Linked DNA regions of Arabidopsis thaliana. The protein of the gene in region 1 interacts with the protein of each later gene in a pairwise test. Each region holds a gene or a part of one and is shown on either strand. Other genes may lie near its edges.

Evidence for each region.
Region 2: the proteins of MYB52 (region 1) and AT5G59990 interact in a two-hybrid assay, tested with the Arabidopsis thaliana proteins (one large-scale study listed by BioGRID).
Region 3: the proteins of MYB52 (region 1) and BBX19 interact in a two-hybrid assay, tested with the Arabidopsis thaliana proteins (one large-scale study listed by BioGRID).
Region 4: the proteins of MYB52 (region 1) and SOM interact in a two-hybrid assay, tested with the Arabidopsis thaliana proteins (one large-scale study listed by BioGRID).

Annotation. Positions count from the first base shown.
Region 1 is NC_003070.9:6,175,555-6,179,796, reverse strand, and holds MYB52 (myb domain protein 52), read right to left. Parts: upstream 2,317-4,242; 5' UTR 2,034-2,316; coding exon 1,916-2,033; intron 1,796-1,915; coding exon 1,370-1,795; intron 940-1,369; coding exon 734-939; 3' UTR 508-733; downstream 1-507. UniProt on the Arabidopsis thaliana protein: Transcription factor that confers sensitivity to abscisic acid (ABA) and salt, but tolerance to drought. Regulates secondary cell wall (SCW) biosynthesis, especially in interfascicular and xylary fibers.
Region 2 is NC_003076.8:24,150,409-24,154,941, forward strand, and holds AT5G59990 (CCT motif family protein), read right to left. Parts: upstream 2,794-4,533; 5' UTR 2,677-2,793; coding exon 2,284-2,676; intron 2,025-2,283; coding exon 1,866-2,024; coding exon of another isoform or gene 1,854-1,865; exon of another isoform or gene 1,443-1,853; intron 972-1,442; coding exon 798-971; 3' UTR 526-797; downstream 1-525.
Region 3 is NC_003075.7:18,159,111-18,163,837, reverse strand, and holds BBX19 (B-box type zinc finger family protein), read right to left. Parts: upstream 2,751-4,727; 5' UTR 2,263-2,750; coding exon 2,170-2,262; intron 1,964-2,169; coding exon 1,868-1,963; intron 1,783-1,867; coding exon 1,750-1,782; exon of another isoform or gene 1,670-1,749; intron 1,545-1,669; coding exon 1,448-1,544; intron 1,332-1,447; coding exon 1,216-1,331; intron 1,116-1,215; coding exon 954-1,115; coding exon of another isoform or gene 877-953; coding exon 793-876; 3' UTR 517-792; downstream 1-516. Other genes in the region: FBA2 (fructose-bisphosphate aldolase 2), read left to right, coding at 1-124.
Region 4 is NC_003070.9:952,352-956,686, reverse strand, and holds SOM (Zinc finger C-x8-C-x5-C-x3-H type family protein), read right to left. Parts: upstream 2,398-4,335; 5' UTR 2,099-2,397; coding exon 917-2,098; 3' UTR 543-916; downstream 1-542. UniProt on the Arabidopsis thaliana protein: Probable transcription repressor that functions as a negative regulator of phytochrome-mediated promotion of seed germination. Inhibits seed germination by regulating the expression of gibberellic acid (GA) and abscisic acid (ABA) metabolic genes.

The DNA.
Region 1 (4,242 bases):
TAGTCTGCATGAAATTATAATTAAGTAGTACTGTATTAAAAGGATGTTCATTTGGTGGTACATATATTTAGGCACCAATGACATATTTTCTTCGGTTAATAATCAAACCTTATAATATTTGATCTTCCTTAAGAACGCAACAACACAAAAATTATATCCGACGATTGCAAATTAAATTCCACAAAATATAAAATCTTGGTCTCAACTCTCAAGTCCTTCTATTACGATAATTTATAGATTAATCCGGATTCAGGACACAGAATTTTCTCAGTACATACGCATCTTGTAATTTAGACAATATATACCATAGTCCATAGCCAAAATGAGTATAAAGTGAAACTAGGCCAGTTTGGAATAAATTTTTGGTTTTACTTCAGAATTTCAGTTTAAGATTGGTTTCATGACAAACCTTTAAACTTAATAATGTTTTAAAATAAATTAACTTCTGCTCAATCCTTTTTATCGATTGGTCTGATTGAATTTCTGTAAATATGAAGAAAAAAAAATACCGAATGGTGATGAGTCTGATTAAACATCCTTAAAATAAAAATAGAAAATTAGACCTGATAAAGGTGGAAAAGTACAACCTTATATTTGTTATACAAGAACATGTTTGGGATGGCTTAACTAATTTTCACATTTGGCTCAAACAAGAGCTCTAATTGATTAGTACTTTCTACATTATCTTTAATTAACATATGGTCCACCTTATAGTACATGTGGTACGGACAAATTAACATAAACCCTGAGAGGCAGAGTTTCCAACAGACAAAAAGTCGAAAAATGGAACACAATTCTCGTTAGGAATTCGGTTGTTTTGATCGACATCTTCTTCTTCGTCTTTTCTTGAATTATCTATCAATTCGTGTATCTTCGAATCCGTGTTTACTTGAAGAAAATTGTAGAACTCCATCGGTCGTTTAGTTTGGTCTATTGCTCCTGACAAATTAATCCATGTCCAAAAGTTAGTTTTGGAAGTTACACAAGTATGTAATCGTACCCACATGCAAGTGTACATCCATATGCATGCATGTAACTATGAAAATCATGATCGTTTCATACTATCTTTACAAAAAAAATTGATCAAAAATTAATTTAGAGTTTACAGAAAACAATGAATTTTAACCCATATAATCTATACAAAAATCGTTTTTTTTTTTAAATCAAGTTGTATACGAATTAATGCACCATTACTCATTTACTTGCACATTAATATGACGAATGTACATGTTTTCTATGAGTTCGTAATTTATATATGCCTATATGTATTCACACAAAATACAATATACGTATGGCTACACATGTTTTATCTTTGTGCAGCTATATTAGCTACATAAACACAGAAATTCAAGCCATATTATCTAATTACCTTCTTGTATTGGAGTAGTACTATTTCTGAACCCGATCTTTCCGGTCAAGAACTCTTTGAGGACTTGAAAATGATTAATATGAGAGAATTGATAAGGAAAATTGATAGCGGTTGTGGTTGCCAATCTTCTCTCCTTATCGCAGTCTTTATAATTACCAATCATCCCAGTCGCAGCCACCGTGCCATCATGGCCAAGGCCTCGTGGACGGAGCTTGGACCGTTCTCGGCCACGACGAGCCATGATGACGTGCCAATGGTTTTTAACAGCGTTATCAGTTCGACCGGGAAAAAATCTAGCGATCACAGACCATCTGTTCCCATGGATCCGATGAGACGCTAAAAGCCTTTCTTCTTCTTCCTCCGTGAAAGGGTTTCGGTTAATCCTAGGATCCAATTGATTAAACCATCTCAATCTACAACTCTTACCTGAAACCAAAAGATCCAATCAAACCAACATATATATTTTTATATAAATATATTAAACCCTAGTTTATATATGCTTTGTAAGAAATTAAAGAAATGACTTTAATATAAAGTCAGTTTTACCAGATCGACCAGAGAGCTTCTGAGCTATGGCGTTCCAATTATGAGGACCAAATTGTTCGACGAGTTCTCTTAGCTTCTCGTCTTCTGCAGGTCTCCAATGGCCTCGACTACACATCATTTTTTAATACCTCTCTCCTTTTGATCTTTATGATCTTCAATAAATCACAACCTATATATAAATTTATATATGTTGTTGATATAGTTAAGAAACCCTAGGTTTGATGTAGGTGAGGGAAGATGGGTATGTAGGAACAAGAAGAAAGCTGAAGAGCAACAGCACCATACATACATGTATTTATATAAGTATATTTATTTAGATATTATATAAAGAATTGAAAGTAATGAATATAATAAGATTCGTTAGAGAGTGAGGGAAAGTTTGGAGAGAGGTTTTCACCGGCGATTGATGCCAACGTCTTCCCTAACCAAACACACTCCTTTTAAGTAATCTACCCTTTTTTATTTTTCCATTTATTTCGTAATTTTTATATACATTATTTTGGTTTATGTGAGAGTTTTAATAATTGAGTAATTGATGAGTAATGAAAAGAAAAAAGGAGATTACACAGGAGGGAAGAGATTGCTTGGTGGGGTGTTTTCGTTAAACTTTCAACGTCTACCCTTAAATATATTTTTTTCCAACCTAAACCCTCTACTTCAGCCACCAATACTTCATCTACGTTCGTATAACCTTTTACAAGCTACATGTACACATGTATATTAATTATTATGGTCAGCTTTTTATATATGGACAACTTCTAGAATATGAATCAAGGTGGGAGAACGCTATAATTAGTTAACTACAATATATGGTTCAAAGAACGAACATTTAGATTGCAAAATCTATAGTTGCATTTACCTGTTATGATGTTGTATTAGTGTTACTTTGAAAGAAATAAATAAAACTTACATTTGTTAGTGTTTAACTACATAAAACAACAATGTTACAAGCAATGAAAATCTCAAAAGTCTAGCTATGTATATTACATGTGGACAATATTTTCCAAATTTATGAAATTTTACATAACCGCAAATTAAATCAACAATAAAAAATAACTAAGGCGAACTCGTACGTCCAGAATTAAGGGGGAATGTAACGGTTATTATTTCAGGATTTGTGGATCGAACTCGATGACTAAATTTCAACCGTATTGCCTTTTGGTATAACTAATGGACAATTGTTACAAGTTTTAAAATGGTTTTATAACTTCGAAAATATCAATACATTGTTAAGAGAAAAATACTGGAGGGGAAGGAGAGAGTTTGGTAAAGATGTTGGGGACCTATGATTTAATTGCAGGTCACGTATAAGTAGAATAAAGTAATTAAATATCGTTGGATATGTTTTGTTAAACCTTTCAGACCTAACCAAATGTTTTATTTTCCTTAAATCGGACCAACGTGGAAACCCTAAAACGACTCTGTGTCTTAATTAATTAATAGGTTAACTGACTGATATATCAGTGGCTTTGTACTTTATAAAAATGAATTTGACATCTTATTTGCTCAAACATATATTTGGTCTTCAAGCACATCACCAACTTTCTCTCTTGTCTTGTCTACGACGGTTGGCTTTTAATTTGTACTCTCAGTTCTCTAACAAATTTAAATTGAAAAAAAAAACATGAAATGTAGCATTGGTTACCGACTTCTATTTCATGGTTACCGACTTCTATTTTTAACATTCAGATAAGATATAATAACATAGCCTAAATACTTAAGAACATTAAAAATAAATATATGAAATATAAATAAAATGATAGGAATAAGTTGAAAACCTGAAAAGTGATGTATTGTACTTCAAAGTTCAAATTTTCCTTGAGATTGCTTGCAAAACAGTTTATTGAATATTTATAAGGATTGATTGGATATATAGCTTATAATCCAATCAACTAATCAATTCAATCCTAGGTAAGCTATAACCAAACTGTTTTAGAACTCATTAGTCATTTGCACGTGTGTAGGAACAAAGCCAAACTTAATTACTGGTGGAGATTAGTAGGAAAATAGGCAGAGTTAGTTGGGAAGGAAGTCAAATACAATCTTTCACAACTAAAAAGAATTTCTTCAAATAAGATTTCTTCAAATAAAGCAAACCGGATCCTGATTACACTAAACCGGTTAGGTCTATCAACAAATTGGTTAATCAGAAAGCAAAAAGGCAAAGCAAGGATGACTATTGAATCATGGGGATAATTAATGAGCTTGCTGGTTACAGCAGTGGGTAATATCTAGTATATATGTACAGTAGTATGTATAGCATCATTGCACTCACATCAATTAGTGACCAATTTGGGATCATCTCTACAATCAGATTCATGGACTAC
Region 2 (4,533 bases), on another chromosome or scaffold:
TTATGAGAATGAATGTATGGGTTGATTACTTTAAGTTAGTTTATTTGAGTGGAAGCTTCTTTGATATCTTAAGAATTCTTAAGGTATATAATATATGTTTACCTTTGGAGATTGCTAGTACTTAGCACGATGTGTAATCAACGTGAGAGTATTATGAAATCATCAAAGTAACATGGCCATGTGTTCATTATATGTTTTTCAATGCTAAAAGTTATCATCTTTGTACTTTCTAAATACTTTTGTAAATCAAGTTGGTAAAAGAAAAATCAGACCATTAAGGAACATACTAAACTATACATTAACTATTTAAGGGTCCATATACATTAACGATGTGTAATCAATTTGTTTTAGTTGGAGTTCGATATTTTTAATTGTTTTATGTATATCGTTTGCAACTCACTTATGGACTACCGAATTTAAATGACGGATCTAATACGGCGACGACGTTTTATCTCAAATCCACTTTGTTCTCAATAGGTGAATATCGTTTTGTTTTGCCTTTAACCTATCTAAAACCCCATTTATCTCACTTATAGAACTCAGTGCCATGCTAAGACAATTGCAATCGTCAATTGACAAAGTGGCATATACCACTCATGCAGAATTGTATGGCCAGTGAAAAAGGATTAGTTTGCAAATATCTCAGATCAAAAATACAAGATATGTTATTCTTATATACAAAGATAACACAAAACCTACACATGAGTTTAGCAACATGGGGAAATCTTTTAAACCAAAACAAATTAAAGTGCCATATATAAACATATATAAGAAAAACAAACATAGAAGAGATTAAATTAGTTGAGGAAGTGATTAGCAGAGAAAGAATCAAGAAAAGATGCCCACGTGTCGACATCTCCTACCACGGCTTCCATAACATCAACTTGTTCTTGTTGTGAGATCTCATCATTTCTTGCAAATCTCCCTCTTATTCTTGGCCTACTGTCCGCTAATGTCTTCCTGCATTCGTACTAATAGAAAGATAAAAGATTATTATTAAACCTGTCCCAAAGTATTGTGATAGTTTTTAGATCATTCACAAGTCAAAACTTGTCGGTCAAAAAATTATAACGCGAGCAGAAATATCTCATTGAGATACGGTTTGAATATGTTAGTACATGAATACTCCAATCCGATCTTTAATTAGCAATGAAATATATTTGTGGACCTTCTTGTAAGAAAAAACTAATGGAGAAAAAAACTTGTAGCAACCTTGGAGCTTGATGTGTCTATCTCAAAGGATTCCTTAGACCCAAATATGATGTGACAGAACATTAATTCTCGTTCACATACTCATATATATCAGATGAAATTCTATTTATGTTTGAAGATAAGATTGAAAAGAAAAATTCAATGTTACTTTTTAGTGATAAGAGTGATTGATATGATACATTGAGCCTGTTTTTTTTTTTTTTTTTGGTCAACGAACCATTTAGTTTTGTATTAAATGTGAAAAAAAAACAGTATTACTAAGAAAAGATATCTTATACATTTGATTTTAAGAAAATAGACATTTATATATGCTCTTGTGTATGAAATTATACAGAAATCATTATTAGTTGATTAATGAAGAAATTTATAGGAAATTGTATGCTTGATTAGAAAATGGTTGCATCAATATATGTGAAGGTGCATGTCACTGTTCCATACAACTACTGTACATGTCAAGTCCTCAAAAGTTTTCCATGCGACACATATATACACATGTTGAATATATAATATAGGTTAGGTGTACATGGACTCTATGTGATGAAGAACAATATGAATCAAATGATAAATTCTTATATGTTAAAATAAGATATAAGAATTTATGCTAACAAACAGTTTAGAACAAAGAAACAACTGTAAAACATTTATAAAATTACCTTAATCCTCTTGTTGAAATTCCTAAGGTTTCGTTTGCTACGATATTTCTCGATCTTTTCTTTCTTCTCCTCAGGACTATACTTGTAGGCTTTGCTCATTCCTTCTATTATTGCATTGCTCTCACTCCACACCGTACTGCTCTCTCTTCTGCTACTCCTCTACACACATACCAAAACAGTGTCGTCTTATGTTATGATAGAATTATTATTATTTTCAAATAAAACCCCAAATTTTAGTATGTTTAGATAATTTATTTGTGTTTTGGTGTTTTCATTTTACACTCTTGCAAAACCATAAAACAAACCAACAATATAATGTTTCGTTTTATAAAATGTGAAAAATTTCATACGTAAACGAAAACATAAAAGTTAACGTTTGAAATCTCGAAACTGCAAGTGTGTATATAATATTACTTACGGGTAGATCTCCGGCGCTAAGGGCCCGTCTCACTGGCCCATCATCATCGTTAACGAAATCATGGGCCGCTGTGTAATTACCGGAAAAGCCATTATGGCTACTAACACTCCTCTGCATAACAAGACTCTCTCCGCCACTCCCCATAGAGCTTGGCGAGTCGCAGCTGCTGCTTCCACCACCACCGTTCATGCCGGAATCAAAGTAACCGAACCCTGAAACCGCCTCGGCCGCGTATAGAGAGTTTTGGCTCATCATAAGAAGCGCCAAAGGCGGAGGCGGGAACTGATGATGATGATGATCAAGCAGCTGAGGAGGAGCCACTATGTCGTCGGAGTATAGAAAACATGGACAGTTGTCGCCGGAGGTTATAGAAGTGCTGACGTGTCCACACATGGTGGGTTTTAGTTTATTGTGGTGTTTATGTGTCTTTGTGTGTTTGTTTATGTGTGTGTGTGTGAGTGAGTGAAACTCGAAGTGGTTTGGTTTCTATTTAACAGAGGAAGGACTGATGCTGACGTCATTAATCGTCATCTGAAGTCAACTGACTTAACCGTTGACTTCTTTTGACTGACTAGGAAAAAAGGAATCTTTAGGTATAAAAAGAGTTGCCTTTCGTTTTCAGGTCGCTTCTATCTCACTCTCACCCGTTATTCTTCAAACGACATATATTACACGAAATTGAATCCGACATGTATTATACGAAGGTGAATTTGGATAGTTGAACAAAAATGATAATTATTTTTTCATTTAGGTTTAAAAATGTTTTCATTAAAAATAGAACTACTACTAAAAACAAAAATTCAAATATACTTACTTATATATAGGTTACTGATTAATATGCTATCAATTATAAATACAGAGGAAGAAAGCTAGTGACAAATAATTACTAATTATAACCAAGTGTTGTTAATTCAATTAGTAAAAACCCTAGACGAAACTTAGAGATCGCCAGTTCGAATGACGTTTAGAACAAAAGTAATATTATATGCTGTAGTTTCGGGTACGGAGGGATTACGGGTTTCAGTCCAAAACCTCTTGGTATTCAAAAAAAAAAATACTAATTATATTGAATTTCAAAAAAATTGTTATTATATTGAATTTTATAATTAGTAAACTCTTTCTTTTTTTTCAATCTCTTTAACACATTTACGTTTCAAACTAAATGGCGTTATAACATTTTTTAATGTATTAAGAATTTCACAACGATAATTGTTGTAAAATGGAAGGCATAATCATTTCTTGAAACAGTAAATTTACTGATATTTTCGTAAGCAATTGTGTTTTAACTTCAAGTCCTTGACGAAAAAAAATATACAATTGTGTTTTAAAATAGTAGATAGATAACATCTCGTGCAACATTCATAAATCATAACAGCAAAAGAACAATGTAAAGAAAAATAAAATAAAATAAAGGACACGACTTAGCTTTTTAGCTCGAATTGTATAGGAGAGACAAAAAGATGGTTAAAAGCATTATTTCACGCAAACCCATGTGAGCAGCATACAAATCTACTTTTTTGCCTAATTAATCATTAACTTAATCAACAGTAATAATTAATTAAGCTCAGATACTTGATTGCTTTGGTTATGTTCACATTAAACGGGTGTTTAGTCCGGTCCGGATAATTAACCAGACAAGACACGATAGTACTGCTCTGTATATGAATTGTATATCTGTTCCAATCCATGATTAGTCAGGTTAATTAGCCAGAATTTTTTGTTTGGAATCAAATCGATTTAGGTAACATATCGAGAGAATATCTCAAACGAGTTATACATAGCTACCCCTACGGTAAAGTATATAAATATTGTTTTTTTTTATAGATATTTTGTTTACGATTAGTTACATTCCAAGAACGAAATTCGAATAGTAGGATCACTGCATATATACCAATATATTGTAGGAACACGTTGTAGTCAGTCACTAAATTGGCCTACTCATCATCATCATCATACATAATACATAATCACTCATTTAAGAACAAAACAACTTATAATTTCCTGTTTAAGCCTCACTCCATAATGAGGATACATAATATCAACCCAACTCGTGGTGTTTGTTTAGTAGAAAAATTAACCCACATATCACATTATTACTACTAGATGATATTGATTATATTTATCTAATTCAGTCCAATCCAAGTTTAAACTAAAATGATTATATATCTATATGTATCCAAAATATTTCATTTGGATGATGGTAACAAACCGAACCAAAAATGAAAAATCAAATTTGTTACATCTAAAACC
Region 3 (4,727 bases), on another chromosome or scaffold:
AGCTCAGACCACTCTCTTGGCCCGTGCCAAGGCCAATTCGTTGGCTCAGCTCGGAAAATACACCGGTGAGGGTGAGTCCGAAGAGGCTAAGGAGGGCATGTTCGTCAAAGGGTACACCTATTGAAGAGATGATGCTGTGAAAAAAGAGATGAAGCAGATGTTTTAATCACATTTGTTTTTGAGTTTGCTTGTTATTAATCATGTCAAATCATTATTTTCTCTGCTTACTTTGCGTTAGCTACTCCTTTTAATAAGTTCTATTATATTGAAGTTATCTATCTCTCTTGATCTATTTAAACTTGAAACTACAACTATTCCATAATCAACCAATTTTAAATTTTGAACAAAGAGGATACAGGAGGAAATGGTCTCCACGAAGCTTACAATTCTCAAAGGACAACGCTTAGCCTCATGGGGCCTTTGCATATTAAGTGGGCTTAATCTTTTAATTGGCCCAATTTTTCGTCTTCTTTCTTTTTCGTCCATTTCCCAGAGGATTTTATTAAGAAAAAAAAACAGAAACAAATAAAATTATTTAGAATTTCAGAGATTAGCTTACATTCATGTGAGCACTTAAGCTAATTCCTTAAAACTAAGATAATGCACAAACAACATAAACCTTCCCTCTTCAACAACAAAGCTCGGTTACACCAGCAACGATCTAAGAATCAGAAGGAAGGAAAAAAAACGGACATGAAATCTCCAGTTCTTGAAACTTTTTACAATCTTCTTCTTAAACTGATTTTTTGAATCAGAGTAAAGAGTCTCTTTCTCTCTCTCTCTCTCACCTTATCACTTCTCAGACTCTCGTTTAAAGGGTCCAACTGGTACAAGGCCTGCAGGCTCGTGATTGTTCTCGTTATTTACATCAATCCCCTGCTCATTGAGAAACATTCGAATTGAGAATACAAAAACAAAGATTGAGAATATGTTGGATAGAGGGATTCATATACGTTGTTATTTGATGATGGCTCATGTACTCTTTGTGGATTAGCATTTAGATCAATCATTTCGTCATCAATCTTCCCATTGGCTTCACCATTTCCATTTGTAGAGACTCTTTGGTTCTGCAAATTGTCCCTCGTATTGTTTTCTTTAGGCTTATCCCCTGGAAACTACAAGAAACGATAAACACAAGATGACTATTAAAACTAAGAAATCGACTCAAAATGATTGTGTGTCTGCGTGAGAAAGAAACAATTAGTTAATTCAAACCTCGATTCTCTGTCTCAGCAAAAGAAACCGACCGTGTGTTCTCTTGCCACCAACATGTACTACCATGTCACATTGCAGACAAAGAGAACTACCGTCTATCTCACAGTAAAAGAAGGCTGTTCTCACAACAAAAAACATTGCAGACAAAAGATTTCTCTTCATTTTTCAATATATGTACATATGCGAAAACATTAAACACGAGTGTGGGAAGTTCATTGTAAAGAGATCATACCAGGTGCATTTTCGCATATATCACAGCATGGGGCATTGCTTGGTTCAGCTAAACCAACACGTACATGCCGACTAGCTAGCTTGTTGCACATATGAACCTGAAAGAAGAAAACATTACAAAGCTTTGAAGTAATCCATTTCCGATCAAAATCCGAAAACTACTAAGAGCTATTGCAGTAGAGAAGGATGAACCAATGACTCGAGAAGGACTATAAAGTGTTACCCTTAAGAGTCATCTAACTGAAGTAAGGATTAAGCGCAAAGAGCAGAAAATCGATTATTTTCTTCTCCAGAAGTTAATACTACTAAATGCAAACTCTGGAGACAAAACGTTCCCTGCAATGTACATGACAGAGTAGAATCATTGAAACCGCAGCAACAAACACTCATGTAATCAAACATGTAAATTCATCAACTGAACCATCTTAATCCACCAAATGAGAGAAGAGGTTTCAACTATTTGAACTCTTTTGACGGATTCACTACACTTCGAAATATCTAATCTCATGTGAAGAGCCTAAGAATCTAGAAACCAAATCTCAAAAATCTTATTTCTTTAGCTCAAAGTTATCGAAAAGCCAGATCAACTCAGGTCCAAATCAACTGAGAATTCCCAGACAGAGATAACAAAGACTTGATCTTTGACGAACCCATCAGAGCACAACCAATAGATAGAGAGGAGAGTTAAAGAAAAAAAGGAAGCTTTTTTGGGAGAGAAGTTACTTTTTCATCGCAGGGGCGACAAAGGGCAGCTTCATCGGCGGCGCAAAAGATGATTGCGGCTGCGTTCTCGCAAGCATCGCACAAAATCCGCATCTTGCTTTTTCAATCTTATAAGTCTTTTTCTCACTCTATTCGGAACAATGAATCTCACCTTCAAGACAAAATCTTTAGCCAGAACTCAGATTGCGATTGAAAGAGATGAGAAGTGGAAATAATAAGTAGAAACCTCTGATTAATTAAGGAGGAAGTAGATTAAGGGTTAGGATTACGCGTTGGTATCAAGGAACTAGAAGAAGAAGAAGAAAGGGAAGAAATTATTTAAGATTATAAAAATCGCTCCTTTAAAATCTTTTTCTACGATGGAGGAGAAGCTTGAGAGACCAGAAGAGACGACGACCAAATCCACGCGCCGAGAGTATCAAATAAGCATACTTTGCTGTGACAAGGCAAAATCTGTTAATTACTACTTTGAGTAAATTTCTCCAATCAATTACTTTTTTTCTTTAATTGTGTGTTTTGACTAACGAAAATTATGATTAAAGTAGTACCTAACAAGAAATGTGTGTAGTATGATTTAGGAGAAAATATTGGGAAGACCAAATCTTTTATAGTGGATATGGTTTTGAGTTATAAGATTGTTTAAAGTCCATTATATCAGAGACCATTATCAGACAAAAAGAAAAATGATATCGACTAAAAAGTGAAGACGAAAGACTCAATGCCATCTGGGAGGTCATTGATGTGTCTCCCTGAAACACATTCGTTGTCTTGTTTCCTTTGTTTTGGTGAAAAAGTTTTTTTTGTCACAATCTTTATATGATTTCTTGGATCCTATATCTGATTTTTTTTCTTCCTTTTTTTGACGGCAGCTGAAATAGTTTTAGGCAACATAATGTGCTAAGATTTAGGACGTGTGACTATTTTTAAAAGTAAAAATATAAACTAAAATAAATAAAAAAGGGGGAAAAAATAAGAGCCACAAAAGGAATTAAAAAAAAAGACAAAGAGGTGGGTGGGCCAAATGTCACCAGCCATTTAAAAAATTGGTGGTCGAGAAGTAGTTGAAAGCAACTCTCAAAACTCTACTAGTGGCCTTGGTTTAATGTTGTTTTTATTTCCTTGCCCATCTTCTCAATTTCATTTAACTAACATCTTCACAATTATCTTAGTTTTTTTTTCTTTTCATCCCAAAGTTTATTCTTTCTCTCCTCCATAAACATTCTTTTGTAGCTTGTTTTATGACACTTTGGCATTTGTAAAATTTGAAAGAAAAGTTTTGACGCACCCTATTCATAAACACGAGAATCAATATTTGCATAATTACAATGTTCTCTTCTGTTGAAAATATAGATTATGGTTTTTATAAAAAACAGAGCATCCAAAGAAGAGAGTTTGCCTGCCATGTGCATCATTGCTAAATGTTGGGCTTTACTTGTAATGTTGGGCTAGATATCCATTATATTTGTTATCAAAATATCATTATGACCTTCTGGGCCGGGAGAAAAGGTCTCTCACTAATGGGCTACGATGAAGTGGAGTGTGAGGTCCACGTGGCGGGTTTAAGGTTCCTAATTAAGTTTCAGGGGTAAACCGGTCATTAACTACCCAAGCCGAGAGAGAGAGAGTCTGAGAAACCGGCGAATAGAAGAAAAGAGAGAATCTTTGGGACCAAATCAATGGAGTGGTCCCTTCAGACAAAAGTTAAGAAGAAGAAGACGACGACGACTACGACGAAGAACAAACAACTACCAAACTTGTAGGCAGTAGCAGGAGGAAGTGGGTGGGATTAACATTGTCATTTCTCTCTCTTTTTCTTTTACAAATCTTTCCGTTTTGTTTTCTTTTGGTTTTCCGGTGAGCACTGTTGTGTTTCCAATTCCGGCACTCTTTAGGGTTCCCTTTCAGAAGAAAACTTCACATTGTTGTTTCTCTCAACCGTGACATCTTGGATTACTACTTCTGACTACTTTCCTTTTTCATGTGCCCCAAAAGATAATAGTTACTTTTTCAAAATCTGGTTTTGTTGTTTGGGTTTGTGTCATTCATTGATAAAGTCACTAATGGAGAAGTACAAAACAATTGCAAAATTTCGAATCTGTGTTGTCATTGCTGAATTCTGTAGTGGATGTTTGCTTGCAGTTTAGAGCTTCGGAGTGCGAAGAGTGAGACACAAGAGGATTCTTTCTGGAACCGCATTATTCCCTTTAGAGGAGGAAGAAGAAGACAACTCACTCACAAGGTAAAAACAGCTCCTTTGCATGTTTCTTTATCTTGCTTGTTAGAGATGTAGACAAGACACGCACTTTATAGACGCAAAATCTTAGTATTCTGGTTCAAGATTGAGATGCATTTTGTGATAATGATTAAATGTTCTGTTGGTGCAATTGATAAGGTTTCATTGAGTTTTGACTAAGTAAACTCCAAGTTACTTTTTTTAACCTTTAAACACGCATTTGTGACTGACCTTGTCTCCCTCTCCATTGATGAATTCAAAAACTACAAAGCTATTATTTTTATGTTTGATTTTGCGTGTACATATATTATAATCCAAGTTACTT
Region 4 (4,335 bases), 5.2 Mb from region 1:
ACACGTCTCGATATGTACATCTGTCGATGACATACACATGCCTCATATGAAAGCTACTAGCTTTCGTGTGGTGTCCAAAGAAGAACAATTGGAGAACTTGTCGCACCTTTTTATATACAAAAAAGGATGTGACATATAACTTTAGGGAGACGGTACTAACACAACTGTATTCTCGTCTACCAGGCACCAGCATAACCAAAACATAACACATTTCAGGGTGAGGGGGATGAATAATTCGAGAATTGTGCATAGGTACATTCATAAAATTAAATCATAAACATAACACGTTTCAGGGTATACGATGAGATGAAACATTTATTTTCAAGAAACGCATATCTTAATATCATTTATAAAACTTAATAGCGTAAACCGAAAACGCAATGTGATCAATCGTCCAGTGATATTTTATACGTTTAAAAGCTTAATACAAATTAACTATAAAACAAAAACCATCAGTTAATCAATATACATATCACAATGATGAAAACAGACGAAGACGAAAACAAAAAAGAAGATCAATATACATATCAATATTCAATTGTGAGGTTGTAATGTTCAAATTGATCTATTAAAGATTTAACAAAGTATACATGAAAAGGGAAAAATATCTATAGAATTGGTGAAACATTGCACAATCCGAGTCCACAAGATATTACAAGTTCAACATATTATTTGGTAAAAATCCCATCAGAAAAAGAAAATTCTAAAAAATAAACGACAATACACAAGACACTTCTGAATTAGCTAAAAAAAAAAATCTTCAAAATAAATTTGAACAAACAATCTCTCCATGCATTGACCAAACCGTTACGAACCGATTATTCTCCCATGATTCATGAATGTGATTAAAATTCTTCCACCGAAATTTACATTCTCAAGTCAGATCTCCTCCCGGCGAATCTCCACCGTCAATCCCTCAAGTCAAGAGATCATTGACCCATCCTAGATCAGGGTCACCACAAGAACCATCCTCAATGTTAGTATTCTCCCTAACGGCCGTCATCGCCGTGAAATCGTTCATCTGTCTCCGGCGAGGAGTGAAATCATCACTGAAGAAGTTCGCCTGAGGTGAGTTAGTTAGGTAACTTGGAGTGGAAGGCGAAAGAGCAAATTGCAAAGGGCTACTTGGTTGTTGTTGCTGGAGATGGAGACGCTGATTGCTCAGACCGCAGGACGACGCAAACGCGGCAGCCGCAGCGGAAACCGGAGTTGTAACGGGCGACGAGGAACTCGCCTGCAGCGCTTCCGCTAAGCTCATGGAATCCAAAGAATTCACAAGCTCGCTCAAAACGTCTTTATAGTTCATTGAACCAGCGGCTGCAGCGGCGGAAACGGCAGAAGCGGCGCGGTTCCTCAACCGTGAAAAAGCAGCGGCTTTATTAGCCGGAGACATAGGTGGAGACAGAGACGGAGATCGAGAAAGATGAGACAAATTACCCAAAAGAGTGCTCGTGGGAGAGCTGCTACAAAACAAGCAACATGGATTCTTCGCCGCAGGAGAAGGCGACGCTGAGACACCGGAAACGTTCTCCGGAGGAAGAACCCTAAGCTGACGTGGCGAATGAGCAAAGAAACAGACTTTCCTTTTACAGTGTTTACCGTCTTTACAAGCTTCAGTACGGTAACGAATAGGATGGAGCCAACACTCGAAGACTCCATGAGCAAACTCACAATCATCTCCACGGCTACAATCACCACCACGACGAAACTCGGGACAAACCTCACCGGAGTATTGAAAGCGACGAGGGTCACGACGGCGAGCTTTCTCACCGGGATGAGCAAAAGGACAATCAGTCCAATCGTGGCTTCGGCTACGAGTGCAACGACGGATCTTGAATTCGAACATCCGGAAATGATCACTTGCGTAAGGATCATCAGAGTCAGAATCATAACAGTACTCTTTATTCTCTCTGTTGTTGTCTTCGTTGTCTTCTTCATGTTCAGATGTAATCTTGTTGCTTTTGTTCCAGTTATGTTTACGCGGCGAGCGAGGGGAAGAAGAATCAGAAGGAAAACTCTTGGAAGATAAAAGAAGCTTTCTCGGAGGAATCTCCACCGTTGGCTTCCTCATTTGATGTTCCGTACAAACGACATCCATGATGATATAATATCTAACTTGTTTTTTTTGTTTGTGATGTGTTTTGGTTTTGAGGGATTTGTGTAAGATGAAAGATGGGATATTGTGGTTTATATATATGTGGATTGAGTATAGATATAGACATGAGAATAAGTTAAAACGTATATTTAAATATTGTTAGCTTTGGATTATTATCATTAAATAGAATTTTGATGAGATGTAATAAGAAGACAAGAGATTAAAAAGTGGAAGGAGTCGTGTGAAGGGTATGGGGAGAGGGTTCGTGGCGAGATAAGAGAAGAGTTTTAGAGAGGTTTCATGCAAAAGAAGCAGGAGCTGCCTTTCTCTCCTTGCTTCAGACCTAACACATGTGCCTATGTTTTCATCAGCATCATCCTCTCTTTCTCTCTCCCTTATCAACATCCATTTACTTTCTAATTTGTTTTTTTGTTAGAATTATACTTGAAAGTATAAGGATAAAACAACTAACTTTATAACAAATTAATTATAATGTATGAATTTGTCTTCTAGTTTGTTACCAAGTAGGCAAGTACTTTGTGACTTTGATACCAAAAATAAGTAACCACCCCATATATATGATTATGTTACTGTTTGATAAGTATTCTTGTTTGTTAAAGCGATCAGCATTTGAAGTATTATTTTTCCTTACTTAGGATTATTATTTAAAGCAGTTTTACTTATTTTTTCATATATTAATTTGTATTTTTGGATTTTAAGTTAAGTGTTCATATTTTTCTTCTTTTACTTAATTTTATCTCTTAGAAGAAAATATTTTAACAAAAACTTAAAATCATTAATTTTTACTCTCTTGGATACGTAACTGCTATGTAAAATAACGTAGTACATAACCGAATAAGTATCAGTATGACAGAAAATCGATCAATATATCATCTAAATTAAATGAGTAAATTGGTAAGAAAACAATTAACTGGTAGATTTAGAAACATTAAATTTGGTTCATCCCCTCGGACTATAGGTTCAATCACGTTTCAAGATCATAAAAGCGACGAAATAACAAATATAACGAAATTCAAATATAATATTCTTAGCTTGTTTTCCTAAGAACATAGTTTCACAACTTCGAAAAGTTTATATGTAAAGAAAGACGTTCTTCAAACTTAAACTGTAGAACACTTTAATTATGTAAAGATCTTCCATATAAATAATTTAACCACAACTAAACTGTAGAACACTTTAATTAATTTTAACTTAAAATTAAGAAATATTAATGACTATAATAAAAAGAACTCGTACAACCTATTTATAAAAGACCTAGTTTAATTAATTTCTTGATACAATAATACAATCGCATAATTTGTCTGAATAAATTATACACGAACTTATAGAAGATCTTGTATACAACGAATCTAAGAAGACTTTACAACACAGAAAGGATATGCACGAGATTAAATACAAAACACGTATAAAAAAAATACGTTTTTTTATTTTGTACGCCATTTATCAGCGGAAACAAATGATATTTAATTACTTTTATAATTTTCAGTCTATCTATTAATGTATCTAAAAATCGGGTGCATGTGTATGTACAAGTGTCACTTTTTCCATTGTTGCGTGGCTCTGATGGAAGCAAATACATTTTTGGTTTCTACCTTCACAAGTCTTCAACTCCATAAATTAATTATTTAAAATACCAATTTCTAACTTTTATGCCAAAATTTTGAAGAATAAAATTAAGTTCCGAAATTGTGTGTTTTCATTTGGAATCGGATAGAAGAACCACGACAAAAACAGATATACAGATGAAAGCGGTAATTTACATTTAAAGTATAAACGAGAAATTAACTAATATTGTTTCGACGGCAAATAGAACACTGGTTTTGTTACATGACATTATGTTTCGGTTTTGGCAAGTTCAATGTTTTGGGACTGGTATCTCATTTTGTATCTAATTTTTGGTTATGTCCTTACTTAAATTATGGTTCCACACAATCCAAAGCTTCTCATTTTGTATTTAGTGATATGATTACTTATATATACAAATAGTAAACAATAAATATATATATGTTTACTGAAAAATGCAAAAACATGTACCACAAATTTCTATAATAGTTACAAATACATTAATATCTTCATAGTTCTCAAAAATAACTATCTAGATGTAATATACACATAACACAACTTGTAATTTGTTTTCTTTCTTCTTCTCGATTCAGAAAGAGATCTTACATACTTTTCTCAGTTTCTGATAAGGTTAATCACGTGGTTGTGATAAAGTT